3 linked regions of the Arabidopsis thaliana genome follow. The protein of the gene in region 2 interacts with the protein of the main gene of each other region in a biochemical or structural test. Each region holds a gene or a part of one and is shown on either strand. Other genes may lie near its edges. The genes, in order: KIN10, NUC and KIN11.

Region 1 (6,442 bases), on a different chromosome or scaffold from region 2:
TTGTTGTCCAGACGCCGTCAGAGACGTCTCAGGCGACGACACGAAGCGAGTTTCCGTATAACAGTTTGTCTCAAACCACGGCACCAGCGAGCGGGTTCGCGTGGGCAGGGACAAAGAAGAGGAAAGAAAATGACGTAGCTTCAACGCTGACTTATATCCAGCCAGGATCTGCGAGCCACGTGAGTGGTATGAGCATGGCTTTTGCTAAGAACACTTTCGGGTTAACGATAAACGAAGACAAACCGTTTCTTAGGCCGCACGTTTCTCTGGACCCCTCTGATGTGTTGTTGTTCTCTGGCGTGAATCACAAGAAAACAGAAGAAGATATGGTAAGTCAAATTGAACCCGGTACCATCTAAACCGGCAGTTGGAATTCAATTTTAATTTTTGATAAAATCATGCAGGATTTGACGAATCTTGGGGCGAATCCGAAGATTTTTCAAACAAATGGGATGAATGAAATATTACGGAGGACTGAAAGTGATGTTAGAGTTGGTGTTCGAAGACCACCACGAATAGAGAGAGGTTAAAATTTGGGGAAAAAGCGAATTAAATTACCAGAATTTTTAGCCAAAGATATATATACATTTTTTACCTACCATCATGATTTGTAGTCCATATTTGTTTAATTTTTCATTTAAAAAAAAAAGCCCAAGTCAGTGTGAAATTATTCAATTTCAGGTTTACCAAAAGATAATTGTGTCTTTTTTTATTATTATTACAAATTTCCTTGTATTTTTGTGAGAGTTTATCTCACACTTGATGTGTTTTTTTTTTTTTTGCAGGAGAAGATTAACTGGTAGGTAAAACCACACGTTGGAAACTTTTGAAATTCTTTTTGGGCTTGTTTTTGAGTTTGTATAGTTTTTGGATCTTAGTTCGAAATAAACACATCAAGCTCATCCTAAATGTTCGTTTTTCAATGTCTTAATATTAGTAGGATGACAAAAACAAAAAACAACTATTTTTGAATTTGCTAATTTGTTTACACAAAAAATATAGTGTAATATTGACCCATCAAATAATACACGAAACAAAAACAACTACTTCTGAATTTGCTAATTTGTTTTCAATGAAACTAATTTAAACATCTTTCCTTCAATTTTTGTCAAAATGTCTTTCCCTTAACTTATTGATTTTAATCATAAGAAATATGGAGTAAACAAAAACAAAAATCAATCTTGGTGGCATGATGCACTACAAGTTATGTACAAAGTGTCTTTTTTTTACTCTTGCTCAGTCTTACATTTAAGTTAAAAGAGGTATTTGAGTAGAGCACGCATATAGAAATAGAAAGAAAGAGAAGAAGAAAAAAAGGGTTACGTTTTCTAAATAATTTCTTAGACGAATAAGAAAAAAAAAAAAAAAGGAATAAGTGGGGATTATTCTTGAAGAGGTCCGGTTTAGTATTCAGAGGACTCGGAGCTGAGCAAGAAAAGCAGCACACAGATCCAAGAACAAGAACTGAGGACCTTGTACTCTCTGCAAATCCAGTAGATACTTGTCGTCCCGAGTTTTATACAACTGTTTCACCATCAACAATAACAAACGTCATCAAGCCCAGAAAATATTGATTGATAGTTAGATTCATGAAGATTCACTCTAGTTCTAATTCAGTTACAAAAATGGCCATGGACACTAATACACAAAGCTTTCTTTCACTCGAAATCACACATCAGAAACAATGTCGTACGGGAAACCGATATGTATCATGAAGTGGAGAAGAGGATTTACCTGAATTTCAAACTTGACAACATTGGGCGACTTAACAGCTGCTTCGTTCTCTATTATGCTGGACTCGTCTCCAAAGTAGTTGTTATCGTGCATCGAGTTACTGAGCATACCATCTGCGCTGCTGTTAGGAACCCATCTGCACTTCATGTTGTAGTGCCCTATCTTCTTCCAACATACATTCAAATCTTGCAGGGCTTTCAGGACTTCCGTCATTATTTCACGGGGATGAGCCCGAGACTGTGCGATCAAATTGTTACAATATTAATCACATATATATCAAAAGCTGAAGTCTTTATACCATAAATACAGAAAATATCAAAACCTGAAGTCCAAGAGCCCATTTTCTCTCAACAGGGTATTGAGATCTCAAGCCAACTCCTTGATATTCCATCAGTCCTGGAAGCCGATGGCTAACAGGTGAAGCAACGCTTTCTGCTGGATGCATACGGGGAGTACCTTCCTGATTAAATCAAACAATGAAGCATTACGTCAAAGATCTTTTGCTAAAGTCGAAAAGGACAAAAAAGACTAACCATGGTCTCTTGAAACTCAGCCCCGAGATAACCACTAGAGGCACGGAAACGATTGTCCAGTATCAGATAGTACGTCACAGTGCCCTGGAAGACAGTCGGTAAGAATACAGTATTTAAGATCTTTTGATGGAATTTTTTTTAATCTTTGAAATGAAAGAAACAGCAAAAGAACAAGTGGGTGGGAAACACATACATCATTCTGGGTTCGGTTGCGGAGCGATTCGATGAGGTGGTTTCTGTCAAATCCCATATTGATAACTTCTTGGAGAATCTCCTCGTCAATCTACAAATGAAGACAGCGCTTTTACGCCTTTATCGAAAAATGGGAATAGAGATTTCTCTAATGAAAATAAGAGTAGATACGTTAGGCTTACCTTTTTTGCCTGTTGCACAGTATCTGGAGGAGGAACAGCTAAATACCTCGGAAGATGAGCTTGGAACCAAGGGTGTTGCCGGATCTCAGGGATGGTTACTCGTTTCATGGGGTCAACTACAAGCATCCGGGGGATCAAATCTCTAGCACCAGGAGATAAATGGCTAGGTAATGTGTATATCCCTCCCTATAGGACGAAAAGAGAAAAAAAAAAGGTTACAGTCGAAGGGTGATACGAAAAATAAAATAAAAAATTCAAGCATTAGTTCAAATAGACGAAAGAGGAGGAGTAATAGAATGTACCTTTATCTTCTTAAAAAGGTTGGGAATGTTTTCATCATCAAATGGAAGCGTCCCACAGAGAAGAGCGTAGAGTATCACACCACAGCTCCAGACATCTACTTCAGGGCCAGCATATAACTTGCCCGAAATTACCTGAAACAATTTATAGATCTCGACTATAACCTATCATTTGAAACAAGCCTAATTATAGTATTCCTCAGATACCTGAGGGCTGAAGCACTTACCTCTGGAGCGGCATAATTTGGACTTCCACAACTTGTCTTCAAAAAATGACCATCTCGCATTATGTTGCTCAGGCCAAAATCAGCAATCTTTACATTGCATTTAGAGTCCAAAAGCAAGTTTTCAGGCTTGAGGTCTCTGTGAACCACCATGTTTCGATGGCAGTATTCCACTCCTGATATTATCTACATCAAAGCCAAGTAGCTAATTCTTAACTCTCAAATATAATATAAAATCGAATGGTTGCTTGGAAAGTTACATGTTGATAAAATAAAATAAAAACATACCTGCTGAAAAAAGTTCCTCGCCTCATCCTCCTGCAATCTACCCTTCTCAACAATATAGTCAAATAGCTCACCAGAGTTCACATACTCCATGACAAGATAAATATCTGTGGGAGTCTCTATAACCTCATAGAGACGGATGATGTGAGGATGCATAAATAGTCTCAAGATTTTGATCTCTCTCCTCACTGCATCAAAGACCAAATAAGTTCAAAGGAAGGAAGACGAAAAAGAAGCTATATATTTATATATTCCAAGAGTACCGTGAAGTCACAACTAAGGTGGAATGGATACACAAAACAAAACTTGTACCTTTCTCCTCCATCTCCATGTTCTTGATTTTGCGACGATTGAGGATCTTGATAGCAACCTTATGTCCTGTCAATGCATGCTCAGCTATCTTCACCCTACCAAAGGAACCAATACCAAGAGTTCTCCCAAGCTTGTAATTTGGTAGAATCGATTCTACCCCACTTCTACTGCCTGTGCCTGATCCATCCATTCTCTACAAAAAAAGAGAGAGAGATATTAGATCTACTAGTACACAACACACAAAACAAACTGCAAAAGAGTAATAGGAACAAAAAGCAAGTAATTTTTACACTTTTGAAGATTCTGTGATCGATCGTTGAAGAAACTAAATTAAACTCATCTACTCGTTTGAACATGAGAATTTAGCGAGAATTAGGATCCCTTTTATTATCCAGAATAAACCAACCAACACTAAGAAGAGAGCTTAAAATAGCAATTTTCAGACTATCCCCAATTCGGAATATGAACCCTAATAATAATTCAATCGCAGAGGATTACTGGATCTCTCGTACCCGATTCAGAAATGACGATTTCAAGATCAATCCATTGATTTGCAAAAGGGCGAGAATTTTTTTTATTTCCGAAATAAGAAAATTGAGAGATATCGAAACTTACCAAAAATTAAAAAAGGCGGAGGAGAAAATTCGGAACCAAAAAATGCAGCAAAAAAAAGTCCCAAAATTTTCTGAGCTGAAAAAGTAAAATTGAGGAAGATCCAGAGATCAGCTTAAACCCAGAAATTATTGATAGATTCTTCCTCTCGCTTTCATTGCTCTCGCTCCTGTAGCCTATAAGGCGCAAGCAAGTATCAAAGACGAAATTATTTGATTTTTGGTTCCATAAACGGATCAATCTTTAACTAAATTACCCCCAGAGTTACGACTAATTACAATATATACCCCCATGCGGACGTGGCATCTAGTCATCATCTTTTTGCTAAATATTCTCTGTGGTAAAATTATTAACCACCGTTTTGTTTTGGCATCTTTCAAAAAGTTTGTACCGTCTTAAACCGGTTTAGAGAGATACATTGACATAAACTTTTTTTCTTTTTTACACAAGCCAAGTGTAAGCAAATGTACAAGACAAAAACCGCTTGATTCTCGGTTAAGACCCAATGTACAAGACAACCGGTTTAGTGTGTTCTTTCATGGATTGCACCAGGTATAGTAAACCAACAGCTTCAACATAAGCAAACTTCAATAGCTCAAGTAAAAAGGTGATCTCAAGGTGAGATATCTCTCGAGTCCTGTGATGCCGAAAGTGCAGGATCTCGGTAAGCAACAACGAGTTCCGAATAGAATTCAGACATGTTTTGCTCTCTCTCGTCTGCTTTATCTTTGTTTACCAGACACTGCAAAAGTAAAACATCCATCATCACCATATAAAGGTTTAGAGTAGATGCTGTAATGTAATAAAGGACTATGCATCATGTTCTGTTTGTTTTGTTTAGGTTAGGAATAAAAGATTATCTAGCCATATTTTTCTTCCATTGGATCAAAAATATGAGTAACTATTTCTCTAAAGCCTTTACCTGGGTAGGATAAGATTTGAAATTTGGTAAAAACCGTCTTTGGCAGTAAATGCTGAAAAGGACCGTGAGAACCGGAAGGGGAATTGTTAAAGAAGATGCCACTGGAAGCTCTTTAAGCCCGAATAATCCGACTGCAATAATGTGCATTAGTACCAAAGAGAAGATAGTATAGCTGTGAACTATTGGCCAAAACTTTCCACCAGTTTCATACTTGGCCGCATATACGTTTAGGAGCTGCAGCACAAAAAGGTGATGTTATTTCTATCAACAAGTTGCAATGGATTCATTAAGAAGAAAAAGAATTATGTGACGAGAAAATGGATTCTTGATGTAACGTTTATGTCATGACTGAAGCTCCAAAAAATACTTTCGGTTTAAAGATGCTATTCGAGAATTTAGAAAAGGGATCACATATAAAGAGAAGATAAAAGTGAGATTCCATATAACGAAAATATGTGTAGCTGATTCCTATATGATTTTATCAGAGATCAACAGAGAATTATACTTAGGAGTGAGATTGGTTCCGTTACCTGGTTGCGGTAGATGATATATCCAAGACAATAGTAGACCAACAAGAAAGGCAGTATCAATGGCGAAAGGAAGAAGTAAGTTATACCGAGGAGTCCAAAAAATAGAATCCTTGGGATTTCTTGGCAGAAAGGAGTTGAAGGAACCTCAAATTCTTTGTCATCTTCCTTGCCGAAAAGTTTCGTTATGAAACTCCAAAGAAGAGGAACCAAACGGAGGATCTCTGATGATAAACCAGTCCATCCAGAGGTCACAACATAAGATACAAAGAACGATGCCTACACCAAAGATTAAACAATAAACATGACTCGTGGTACGAAAAGGGAATTCCGGAAACCTCAATACTGAATTTTGTGTTCTTTACCTGTGCTGGCACAGCTGCAGCAAGCACACGAGGAATAGTCTTAGGTTCAAGGAACACATTAACACGATAAAGGGCAGATCCGGACAGTACATTTGCAAAGAAACTGTTCCATACAGTAAAGATTAGAAGCTTGATACATGCAGATTTCTCAATCTGGCTATGAGAAATGAATCCTTGCATTGAGGAAAGTAGAAGCATAATGGGTGGTACTATAAGAAGGAAAAGCTGGAAAATGAGACTCGGAAGATATCCCGT
Region 2 (6,227 bases):
AAGACACAGTTTTAATGTGGACTGGCTAGAGGTTTATCAAAAACTGCTTTCATGTATAAAATTTATTAAACTCAGGGATTATTAGTAGTTAACAAATAAGAATAAGATAAAAACAGCTTATGAGTTTGTATGACTGTCAAAATGTAATGTAGAAGTATAGAATTCAAAGAAGATTAAGAACTCAAATTATAAAGAATAACTCTCTTTATTAGTTTAGGAAGATTCTCTCAAAACCTAAACTCTCTTAATCTCTCAAACTCATAAGTTGTATCACACCTTGATACCTCCTTATATAATAAGCTTTTAACCTTATCCTAATTATTAAATAACTCCTAATATTATAAGATAACTCCTAACAATATATTCTAGATTATCTCCTAGAATAATAAAGCTTAATTTCCTTTTCTCTTTAGTAACTTGCTCTTCAAGTTACTTCTTCTTCTTCAAGCTTATTCCAACAAGAAGAAGTTCAGATTGATGATATTCCAAAATAGTGATATATATTCGCATGAGATGTAAATGAATTTCGCAAAGATGTGAGACCAATACATTCTTATGTTTTGCGGAAGAGATAAAAATTTACTTTGTTAAATTACAAATATTTATGTATATACTTTTTCCAAAAGAATAATAAGCTTTGTTACTTGATACCACTTTCTTAAAGAAAAAAGAGGGGAGAAATTTTATCATCGAAAAGCAAGAAAAATTATACTTTTATCCACCATTCAATAAAGACACCAAATTTTCTTCTCAAATCGAAAAAAAAAGTGTTAGCAAAAAGAAAAAAATCCAAAAAAAAAATATTCATAAAACCAAAATGTTAAATAATAAATAAATAGGTAGGCGAATCAGTTTAAGAGTTGTAGGTTCTGAAGAGATTGATTTCAGCTAGCTTCATCGTAATAATAAAATTTCAACATTTGATTTTACTGTCGAACGAACTCTCAAGTCTGAATGAATGTCTAATTTATCTTAGGTATTTTTGTCGTATGTTGTTGGAGTATACCTAAAGAGCACGTGCATGGGTACACGTGCATGGCAGGCTTTGTTCGACTTCGACAAACAAGAGATGTGACCATAACCGTTGGATCTGTTTTACCTCTTTCACATATTGTGAAAAATTCTGATTCATGAATAACTAACAAAAATGACTATGTCCGTATATGATATCTGATGGGAGTGAATAGTGATCCCGTTAACTGTGTATTTAAACTGAATACAACTATTGCAAAGAAAAAGGTGATAGATAAAGTTATAATTTTCTTATTGATCACTAATGTCAATCAATTTTTTTAATACATTGTTTTGTTACTTATACTGCATACCTTCAAATTAATAAGCATTATAGAGATTGTGCAATTGATAAATCAGATTAATGTTTTTATTTGTTGGCAAAGCAAATGTATCTTATTGTAACTAGATATACATTACAATACTTTGTAAACATAATTCATTTAAGATAAAATTTACGGATATATAAAAACATATATATATATATATATACATATAACAATTTCTTTATGCTATCTGTATCAAAGTACTCCTTGAATCCAAAAAGATTAACTACACTCCACTACAGCCTCATCATTCTTTAGGCAGATTGATCGATGCATTTCGTATTATATACTCTACAAGCTTGAAAAAATCACAAGGCGTACACAATTTTGATCTCCCAGTAGTTTGTTTACATATGCGTAAAGCCCTTTCTAGTGCCTAATATTGTTGTATCTAGATTTTTGTTTATTTTTATTTTATTTTTGGCAAATGAACCTTTGATGCTACGAAAAGATCTTCTAATAAACTGTTCCTTTTGGTAAATAACTTCACATTTTATCCCCAAAAAAACATATAGAAAGAAGTGTAAAAAATAAAATAAAAAACAAAAAAAATATAGTAAGATTGTTTTTTTGCACTGAGTTAACATGAGCATGTAGGAACAAAAAGTAAGTAATTATTGGACCCAAAAAACCAGAAAAAAAAATGGAGAGGAAAGGGCAACACAAAAATAACGAGATAATCATTCTCAATAGAAAAGATAGAAATATCAACTTTCTATGTGTCATAACGCACTACTACAACAAAATTACTTCGAATATCTTGGTAATTTAATTACATTTTTTAACAGCTCGCTTCGAATTTGCAAGGCTATTAATCGATTTTTCTAAGATTTAATATAAATGAAGCATTTGATGCTGTATGATGCATAAATACATGATTATCATTTGTGAAAAAATGTAATTAAAATTACTCTTAGCAAATACCATGTCTATACAAAACTAAGGATGTATGAACATGAAATAAAATGAATCAAACTAAAAGAAAATTGTTTATTATATTGAAATAATTCATAGTGAAACTGCAAACATAGGGTGCCTATAAAGTAATCAAGGGATGTTAAATTTTTTCTATCTCTGCATTTTGAAATTTTATTGGCTCTGCTGCTATCACTTTCAGCTTATGATTTTCCACCGCCATCCACTTTGCTCTTTTAAAATAATCTCATAAAGGAAAAGAAAAATACAATTAACCACATATTTTAATCAAAATGGCTGCAACAGTTTAACATATCAAGGTGCTAATATACCCACACACACACACTTATATATAGGAGCTAATATAGAGTGGTATAGGTTAAGACAAAAGCCATATATAAGTGGAGAACCCAATATATCTTTGTCTTTGTTGTTTTTTCCTTCTCGTTCATAGTTAACTTGCAGATTTCTTAGTATTTCTAATCTTTTTCTTATATTAACCTTTTGTCTCCTTCTCTCTCTCTCTCTCTCTGAACTATACAAAAACCTACTTTTAATTTCTCTTCCAAGAAGTCAAGAACCCAGAAGAAGACATGACAAGTGAAGTTCTTCAAACAATCTCAAGTGGATCAGGTTTTGCTCAGCCACAGAGCTCATCAACCCTGGATCATGATGAATCTCTCATCAATCCTCCTCTTGTTAAGAAAAAGAGAAATCTCCCTGGAAATCCTGGTAATTATTTATATTAAATCTCAGCTAGCTTGATCATCACCTAAAAAGAAAACCCTAGTATCTTTTCTATTTTTTTGCCCCCTATAAATTAATTTTCTTGGGTTGTTTTGTTCTGGATCTTGACCTAAATCAAAAGTAGTATTTGGCTGCATGAGTTATAGATCACTGGCTCATGCTTAATTAATGTGAAAATACTAGGCCTTTTAGTAAATTAAAACTTTTATTTGATCTATAGAGTTCTTCTTTTTTAAATCGCATTATAGTTTCCATGAGAAAATATATTTACATACCCTTTATTATTATTACCTCCACCAAGAAAAGCACACACATTATTTTTACTAAAGTACATGATCCGATCCAAAAATAGATGTTGTTTTCCGAATTGACCTAATTAAAGAAACCACAAATGTTAATGATGATCCACTTAGATCCGGAAGCTGAAGTGATAGCTTTATCCCCCACGACCTTGATGGCTACGAACCGGTTCCTATGTGAGGTATGTGGCAAAGGTTTCCAAAGAGACCAAAACTTACAGCTTCATCGGCGAGGACATAATCTTCCATGGAAGTTGAAGCAGAGGACAAGCAAAGAAGTGAGAAAACGTGTCTACGTTTGCCCCGAGAAGACATGTGTCCACCATCACTCCTCTAGAGCTCTAGGCGATCTCACTGGAATCAAAAAGCATTTTTGCCGGAAACACGGGGAGAAGAAGTGGACGTGCGAGAAATGTGCTAAGAGATACGCAGTCCAATCTGATTGGAAAGCTCATTCCAAGACTTGTGGTACTAGAGAGTACCGTTGCGATTGTGGCACCATTTTCTCAAGGTACACTTTTTTTTCTTTCTCTGTCAATTAAATTAAAAATAAGCTTCATGTATATATGTGTTGTCGTTTGTATTGATCATGTTCGAAAGCTATTCTATAGTAGCTTTATAGTATCTACATCTTCGTTTTTGTCAATATGTAGTTTGATTAAGTTTTATAAGTATGTTTTGTCATTTCCTATGTGTTTGTTTATCTCTTTTGAAGTAGGGTAAAGTTTCTTGCTTGGGAAAATGTTTTTGTTAGTGTCATGATTGAGGCAAAAAGTGGTATAAATTTATAATAACCATGATGAACATATAACATAAGCTAGATATAATAATATATACAAATAATGGAGTACTTCATGTGTGTATGGTTCAAAATGGTAACATTATTTATTACTTAATATGCGGAAAAAGTGTCAACACAAGATTGACACATCAATAGTTATGTTACGGAAATATGTACTTAGGTTTTTCTCTACTTTTACTGCTGCACATAAAGAAAAGGCAGCTAAATGTTTTCAAGTATTTTCATCAGTTAAAACTTTGATATAAATGCATTGAGATAAATGTTGATTAAGACGTTAACTAATGGTGGTTTTGGTTGAAACAGGCGAGACAGCTTTATCACTCATAGAGCTTTCTGCGATGCCTTAGCGGAAGAAACCGCTAAGATAAACGCAGTGTCTCATCTCAACGGTTTAGCCGCGGCTGGAGCCCCAGGATCAGTTAATCTCAACTATCAATATCTCATGGGAACATTCATCCCACCGCTTCAACCATTTGTACCACAACCGCAAACAAATCCAAACCATCATCATCAACATTTTCAGCCACCAACTTCTTCGTCGCTCTCTCTATGGATGGGACAAGATATCGCGCCGCCTCAACCGCAACCGGACTACGATTGGGTTTTTGGAAACGCTAAGGCAGCGTCTGCTTGCATTGATAATAATAATACTCACGATGAGCAGATTACGCAAAACGCAAACGCAAGTTTGACCACTACCACTACTCTCTCTGCCCCTTCTTTATTCAGCAGCGACCAACCACAAAACGCAAACGCAAATTCAAACGTGAATATGTCCGCGACAGCTTTACTACAGAAAGCTGCTGAAATTGGCGCTACTTCTACAACAACCGCAGCGACCAATGACCCATCAACGTTTCTTCAAAGTTTCCCGCTTAAATCCACCGATCAAACCACCAGTTATGACAGTGGCGAAAAGTTTTTTGCTTTGTTCGGGTCTAACAACAACATTGGGTTAATGAGTCGTAGTCATGATCATCAAGAGATCGAGAACGCTAGAAATGACGTTACGGTTGCGTCTGCCTTGGATGAATTACAGAATTACCCTTGGAAACGTAGAAGAGTTGATGGTGGAGGTGAAGTGGGTGGAGGAGGGCAAACTCGGGATTTCCTCGGGGTTGGTGTACAAACGTTGTGCCATCCATCGTCTATCAATGGATGGATTTGAAAGAGTTTAAAAATTTCGGGGTTAATGCATAAATTACGTAAAAGAAGAAGGAATCTTTTGTCATTTCCACCATTTTCTAAGATAACATATGTATATGGTAATGGAAGTTGTTTTCTTTTATTAATTCAATATTCTAAAACTTATGATATATGTATAATGAATGTGTTTATCTTCAAGATATATGTCAATGACATTCACAAGACATTCATAATCTTTTGAATTTTTATCATACGGGAAGTACATTTTAAATGTAACCTTAATTTTTGTAAGTAATTACATAGGTATGCCATTAGAAATAAAATTTTAAAGAGTAAATTAATTTATCTCTATAAGGATTAAAAAGTCAAATACTAATTTAATTAATTAAATTAATTAAAAAACGAAATACATTATTAATTTTCAAAAATAATTGCCAATCAAAATCAACATATAAGATTTGATATCTAAATTTTAATTAATTTAATTTAATTAGAAAAACGAAATACATTATTAATTTCCAAAAAAGTAACCAATTAAAATCAACAAACTATATTTGGTATCTAAATTATCATATTAATTTTTTATTAATTATTATAGTTCATTTCTCATCTTTATATGATTCTATTTTTACGGAAAAATAATATCATCATTATAAAAAAATAATTAGAGTTTTTTCGCATATGCCATAATTTAAATTTTTAAAAACGAATATAAACTGTTCAATACATGAAATAATATTATAACGGGTGAAAAATATATTTAAGAAAACTTTCTACTGAGTAACGAGACATAAATTTGAAATATTTATATTCAATTTCATACATATTATATTGAAAATTTATAATCTTATATACTACAATAGTTAATAACATATTAGATGTGATTCAATTTTTAATACAAGCTGGAAAATCCTAGAATTGACGGGTTTATATCGATATTAATACAAGATGGTATACTACATGTGAAACTCTTAAATTAAT
Region 3 (6,509 bases), on a different chromosome or scaffold from region 2:
GCTCAACTTTCCACATACATTTATAAAACACTAGTGTTCTAAAATACGGCTTATACGGTGTATCTATACTGTACAGTTGGAAGCAGTACTGTATTATGGTTATACAGTTGTTAAATACAATGAAAGCTATATACGAGTATATACAATGAATTCTGTGTAAAAGGTGTATTAAAAAAAATGCTCAAAAACAAAAACTATGGTATTTTATTGGCAGGAAATTTATTTGGAATATTTTAGGCAAAAAACAATTTCCAAATAAGGGTAAAATAGTCATTAAAAATTTACTGAAAGTAGAAATGAAAATGTCAAATATGAAAGGGTATAACTGAAAAAGGTAGTGTGAAAAGGGCATTCTCAGCAATTATTCTACATTTGAACTATCTATTTTATCTTAATAAACTGTTTTAATTCTATAGACTACATCCATCTTATTGATGATATTTAAATTTTAAATAATAATTCATATACTTTTCAGTATTTAATTTAGTATTTCCTTAAACCAAATTTCAATCTTACATATTCAATTTTGCAATACAATTTAAATATCTATTTTATTATATAAAAATACAATTTAATTCGATTCCATACAATTCATATACAATTTGATTTTGCAATACAAATACAATTTTATTCTATACACTCCATCTTATTGTGTTAGTTTTCCTTCTTAGTTAAGAAAATTTTAAGTTAAATTTTTCGATATAGAAATATAAATTGGTATATGTATTTGTTTTTGTTAAATTTCCTATTTCTTTTAGAAAAAATATTTAAAAAATCTCGATTTTGCAATACAATTTAAATATCTATTTTATTATATAAAAATACAATTTAATTCGATTCCATACAATTCATATACAATTTGATTTTGCAATACAAATATAATTTTATTCTATACACTCCATCTTATTGTGTTAGTTTTCCTTCTTAGTTAAGAAAATTTTAAGTTAAATTTTTTAGATATAGAAATATAAATTGGTGTATGTATTTTTATTGGTTAAATTTCCTATTTCTTTTAGAAAAAATATTTAAAAAATCTCGATTATGCAATACAATTTAAATATCTATTTTATTATAATACAAATACAATTAAATTTGATTGTATACATTTCAAATACAATTCGATTTTGCAATACAAATACAATTTAATTCTATACACTCCATCTTATTGTTAGTTTCCCTTCTTAGTTAAGTAAACTATAACTTATTTTTTTTAGATATAGACATATAAATTAGTATATGTAAATATTTGTTTTTGTTAAATTGCCTATTTCTTTTAGGAAAAAAGTAAAAAAAAATCCGACACAATATCAACATATGAACGATTGACTTGTTACGTGTCACGATCAGTTGAGTTATTAACTTTAAAAACTCTACTTTATATAATAAAATGCGTCTGAAACTTCTTAATTTATCCGCTTTATCATTAGCACGCTTTTATATATAGAAAACTAGATTTTAACCCGCGGTATACCGCGGAGACAATTTATTTTTTAAAGTTACTATATATAAAAATTTGCAAATTATATTTATCTATAAAATATTTTTATTTTATAGTTTACGATTGTTATTAAGTAACGTCCTGTCAAACCCGTCCCGCCAATCCGTCCCGTAAAAAAAATTCACTGATTTTATTTATGATATGTTTATGAATCATTGTCTAAATATTTTTTAATTTTGTAGTAATTAAATGCTATCTAATATCTCTGCGGTTTGATGATTATAATCGAATTATTATAGTCATGTAGAAAAACAATATCAAAAATGATAATTTTGTAGTAATTAAATGATATTAAATATTTCGGAAGTTTTATTTTAGTAACTAATCGTGTAGTTAATGTGGAAAGATTTTGGGAAGATTGTCAAATATTTAATTTAAAGATTTTCTTTCTAATTATCAAAAACAATTATTAAATGCGAGTGGCAGCCACTGTAAATAAACTCCAACTCTAGGATTTATTTCACAAAGTGGCTGCAAAAATGTATATATAGATCATAAAAACAGTAATATAAAAATTTTAAACCTTAAAAAACTAGTTTTTCAAACAAAAACAGAAAATGGGCAAAAAGGCCCTAATTTAAGGGCTTGCAAATGGCAATAAATGTTTATCTGGGTTTTGTGGTTTCTTGATTCGTCATTACCAATTTTCACCATGAAGACTTAAAAAAACCTGACTCAGCTCTGCGTCACCTACGAGTTGGAAATCTGACTTCCCCAAGAATTTCTTCAGATTACATCGTAATTTACAATTCTGCCCTATTTATACCCATCAATCTGATTCTCCTTGTTTCTGTATATTTCTTCGCTCTTTGTTTGAACAATTTATCTGGGTTTTTGATTCTCGGATCTACTCCAAGACGGTTTTCGAAATTAACAAGCTTTTCAGGTAAATTGACTTTTTTTTCTTTGTAAAGGTTTATCAATTTTGTCTTCTAAACTCAAACTTGTGAGTCTCTTGTTTGGTTTCAGACCAAAACCACCATTACAAAGTAGTTATGTCGGTGGTTCTTGTCAGTTTTCTTACAAGCTTATGGTTGGTTTAGATTAGATTTGATGAAATGAAAATTGAGTTGAAGAATGTTTTTTTTTATTTGAGCAAGTTAATATGTTTACTGATGTTTTTCTATAGAGAAGTTGCTAAGAGAGCTTACTTATGAGTTTGATGTTGAATTGGGACACAGGAAATGGATCATTCATCAAATAGATTTGGCAATAATGGAGTGGAATCGATTTTACCGAATTACAAGCTTGGTAAAACTCTTGGAATTGGGTCTTTTGGGAAGGTGAAAATAGCAGAGCATGTTGTCACAGGGCATAAGGTTGCTATCAAAATCCTTAATCGTCGTAAGATCAAGAACATGGAGATGGAAGAGAAAGGTATATACAAGCACCGTTACTTTTAGCTTTAGTGGTTTCTAGAACAAAAGCTTTGATAATCAAATGTTTCTGCTTATTAGGTTTTAGTATGTATTTTTATCTTAATGTATGTATATTTCTTCTTTACAGTGAGGAGGGAGATTAAGATTCTACGGTTGTTTATGCATCCTCATATTATTCGGCAGTATGAGGTAATAGAGACCACGAGTGACATTTATGTTGTGATGGAGTATGTCAAGTCTGGAGAGCTCTTTGATTATATTGTTGAGAAAGGCAGATTACAAGAAGATGAGGCTCGTAACTTTTTCCAGCAGGTTTGTTTTCTCTTTACCATAACCAGTGTGTTTGTAGCGTATCATGTCATCTTTGAGTTTGAGTGTTGTTTGTGTTTGACTCATATCCGAATAGATAATATCTGGTGTAGAGTACTGCCATCGTAATATGGTTGTCCATAGAGACCTGAAGCCTGAGAATTTACTATTGGATTCGAGGTGTAATATTAAGATTGCAGACTTTGGGTTGAGTAATGTTATGCGGGATGGTCATTTTCTAAAGACGAGTTGTGGAAGCCCCAACTACGCTGCTCCCGAGGTATATAGTTTAGTAAAGTTACTGAATTGTTTTTCACCTATGTGACTATGTCTCGTTTCTCTTATGAGTGTCTTATCTCTTACTTCTTGTTGTAGGTTATATCAGGTAAATTATATGCTGGACCTGAAGTAGATGTATGGAGTTGCGGAGTTATATTGTACGCTCTATTATGCGGTACTCTTCCTTTTGATGATGAAAACATTCCCAACCTTTTCAAGAAAATTAAGGTACTGTACGTTATACTTTGATTCAGCTAAAAGACTCTTCTTAAATGGATTCATATGTATGTGAAGTAACTTATCAAGGTGTTTTTTTTCTCTTTAGGGTGGGATTTACACTCTTCCAAGTCATTTATCATCTGAGGCTAGAGACCTGATCCCAAGGATGCTTATAGTTGACCCGGTGAAACGAATCACCATTCCTGAGATCCGTCAACACCGTTGGTTCCAGACTCATCTCCCTCGTTATCTTGCTGTCTCTCCACCGGATACAGTAGAGCAGGCTAAAAAGGTTGGTTTCAGTGCCATTTGGAGATTAATAGAGTTCACTTGCTGTGATAGTAACAATATCTCTTATGTTTTGCAGATCAATGAGGAGATAGTTCAAGAAGTGGTTAACATGGGATTTGATAGAAACCAGGTTTTGGAATCTCTACGCAACAGAACACAAAACGATGTATGTAGTTTCCTGTCTCTAATGCTTTTAATCCCCGAAACTAGTTTCCAATAGTCACTGAAATGCCATTTGCTCCTTGTACCAGGCTACTGTTACATACTACCTGTTATTGGATAACCGGTTCCGTGTTCCAAGTGGCTATCTAGAATCCGAGTTTCAGGAGACAACAGTATGTGTTTTTCTTTCCTCTCAGTAGATAGCTTTCCAACATTTTTGACTAACATGTTCACCTTTTCAACGTTACTCATCTAGGACAGTGGTTCCAATCCTATGCGCACACCTGAAGCGGGCGCTTCACCTGTAGGCCACTGGATTCCTGCACATGTGGATCACTACGGGTTGGGAGCAAGATCACAAGTCCCTGTTGATCGAAAATGGGCTCTTGGACTTCAGGTTTGTTCCTGATTACTGATTCTTTTTGTTCCTCACCATAAAGTCTTCTGAATGCAACACACAATCAGATATCTGTACTCTTTGCCTCTACATAGCCAAATCGATAATCATTCTGTTACCTTGTTGTTTTGAACAGTCTCATGCGCATCCTCGTGAAATCATGAATGAAGTTTTGAAAGCTCTTCAAGAACTCAATGTGTGTTGGAAGAAGATTGGTCACTACAACATGAAATGTCGATGGGTTCCTGGTTTAGCTGATGGTCAGAATACTATGGTCAACAATCAGCTGCACTTCAGAGATGAATCCAGCATCATTGAGGATGACTGTGCCATGACTTCACCCACTGTCATCAAATTTGAACTTCAGGTAACTATAAACTCACACATACATTTGTATCAACAACATTCCTTGGAGAAAATAAACAACTGCCTAGTTCGGTTTGTTAGGGATATGAATCGATCAACGGGGTTTACATTCGTAGAATTGTGCTGGAGCAAAGACTAAGATCCTGATGTTGTTTTATCCCACTAGTAGTAGTTCAACAAAACTAAACCAGCTAGGACATAGACTAAAACCTTCTTTAGAACTTGAACCAACTGTTTTCGAAGAACAATTATACACTTTCTGAGTTCACTTTTGATTTTGAAACAGCTATACAAAGCCCGGGAAGAGAAGTACTTGCTGGATATACAGAGAGTTAACGGTCCGCAGTTTCTCTTCTTGGATCTATGCGCCGCCTTTCTTACAGAGCTTCGTGTGATCTGAATGTTTTAACCATTTGTTGAGACATTTTTTTTCTTTCATGTTCAATGGTTTGTAATAGTAGAGAACATAATATAATATGTGGGTGCAGTGTTTACTTTGCCGGGTTACTTTTATATACCTGGATTCTAAGTTAAACTCTACTGTAATAGTAACTATCCTTTCTTCTTTTTGATGGTTTTTAAGGTTTGATCATGTGTACATAACTTAGCTGTTTCATTCTAACTATTGTATTTCTCCTCTGATGCCAATTTTATACAACGTTTATATCAGACACATTATACATGTCATACCTAAAAACATTGCACGCAGAGTCCATCAAAATTCCATTTCACAAAATTCGGCTACCCAACTTAAGTCCTTAGCATCAATACAAGATGTGGAACACGATATTAATACAGAACATTGGAGAGCTACTTTGTGTGGACAATGCTTCTTGCAAAAGGAGTAAATAGGTCGCCGTCGGACAATAATATATCGGGCTTCAAGGATAAGTCCACCCCAAACATACATTGAATGTGTAGGGTAACACTACAGTACTCATCACACATAAAACCGCTCCTTCGGATTTATTTTGCTGATTTTTCATCATCAGTCGGTTCGGACCGCAAACTTCACACCAATACATCGTTGTACTTATCTCATCCCCATAAGAAAGAGTGAACATATGTTTATCATGCTTATACATTACCTTATGAGGTAATGTAGCACATTTGAAACACAAAGAAAAGTAGTCACACTCAATGCAATTGAATGTTTCCTTTCTGGAATAATGTCCTAGCTCTTTGCAAACTGAAAAATGTCTTCGCTTCTCTCCCGGTTTGGTTGTTAGGAATAAAGGATGCAAATGACTTGGATGGACTAGTGGCTCAGAAATCTTGGCGCATTGCATGTGTAGCAGAAAACAACATCATTCTTTACTACATTCATAGAAGAAACCAGCTTTACACAACCAAGGACAAGCAAAACATGTATCCTTATGATAGTCCATAACACCGTCATAAATTTCTGCCACCTTCGCAGAAAAAGTGTGTATAGCCTTCTTCTCCTGGTTGCCTAAATTTCTGCCAATTTAAGGAAAAACACTTCCACTTGTTATTCGTGGGCCGCAAGACTTCTCCAATCACATGGATTATTCCTTCTTTAAAAGTTACTTGTGCTTGAGGGCAAACTGAAATAAGTTTCTTCAACTTTGAATTTTTGAGATGACGA

The links.
Region 1: the proteins of NUC (region 2) and KIN10 form a complex in vitro, tested with the Arabidopsis thaliana proteins (one study listed by BioGRID).
Region 3: the proteins of NUC (region 2) and KIN11 form a complex in vitro, tested with the Arabidopsis thaliana proteins (one study listed by BioGRID).

Annotation. Positions count from the first base shown.
Region 1 is NC_003074.8:30,027-36,468, forward strand, and holds KIN10 (SNF1 kinase homolog 10), read right to left. Parts: upstream 4,462-6,442; 5' UTR 4,118-4,461; coding exon 4,052-4,117; intron 3,955-4,051; coding exon 3,762-3,954; intron 3,638-3,761; coding exon 3,453-3,637; intron 3,351-3,452; coding exon 3,168-3,350; intron 3,076-3,167; coding exon 2,944-3,075; intron 2,828-2,943; coding exon 2,642-2,827; intron 2,551-2,641; coding exon 2,461-2,550; intron 2,352-2,460; coding exon 2,268-2,351; intron 2,195-2,267; coding exon 2,057-2,194; intron 1,972-2,056; coding exon 1,735-1,971; intron 1,525-1,734; coding exon 1,411-1,524; 3' UTR 1,155-1,410; downstream 1-1,154. Other genes in the region: AT3G01085 (Protein kinase superfamily protein), read left to right, coding at 1-329, 405-525, 786-796; HYP1 (hypothetical protein 1), read right to left, coding at 4,987-5,115, 5,296-5,529, 5,826-6,101, 6,188-6,442. UniProt on the Arabidopsis thaliana protein: Catalytic subunit of the probable trimeric SNF1-related protein kinase (SnRK) complex, a central regulator of cellular energy homeostasis, which, in response to seemingly unrelated darkness, sugar and stress conditions, activates energy-producing pathways and inhibits energy-consuming processes.
Region 2 is NC_003076.8:17,770,246-17,776,472, forward strand, and holds NUC (C2H2-like zinc finger protein), read left to right. Parts: upstream 1-2,610; 5' UTR 2,611-2,845; coding exon 2,846-2,984; exon of another isoform or gene 2,985-3,390; coding exon of another isoform or gene 3,391-3,412; coding exon 3,413-3,809; intron 3,810-4,403; coding exon 4,404-5,268; 3' UTR 5,269-5,504; downstream 5,505-6,227. UniProt on the Arabidopsis thaliana protein: Transcription activator that binds to the DNA sequence 5'-CTTTTGTCC-3'. Regulates photoperiodic flowering by modulating sugar transport and metabolism. Regulates SUS1 and SUS4. Transcription factor that regulates tissue boundaries and asymmetric cell division.
Region 3 is NC_003074.8:11,127,684-11,134,192, reverse strand, and holds KIN11 (SNF1 kinase homolog 11), read left to right. Parts: upstream 1-2,087; 5' UTR 2,088-2,236; exon of another isoform or gene 2,237-2,384; intron 2,385-2,679; 5' UTR 2,680-2,682; coding exon 2,683-2,875; intron 2,876-3,004; coding exon 3,005-3,189; intron 3,190-3,283; coding exon 3,284-3,466; intron 3,467-3,561; coding exon 3,562-3,693; intron 3,694-3,790; coding exon 3,791-3,976; intron 3,977-4,051; coding exon 4,052-4,141; intron 4,142-4,226; coding exon 4,227-4,310; intron 4,311-4,393; coding exon 4,394-4,534; intron 4,535-4,670; coding exon 4,671-4,901; intron 4,902-5,186; coding exon 5,187-5,300; 3' UTR 5,301-5,573; downstream 5,574-6,509. UniProt on the Arabidopsis thaliana protein: Catalytic subunit of the probable trimeric SNF1-related protein kinase (SnRK) complex, a central regulator of cellular energy homeostasis, which, in response to seemingly unrelated darkness, sugar and stress conditions, activates energy-producing pathways and inhibits energy-consuming processes.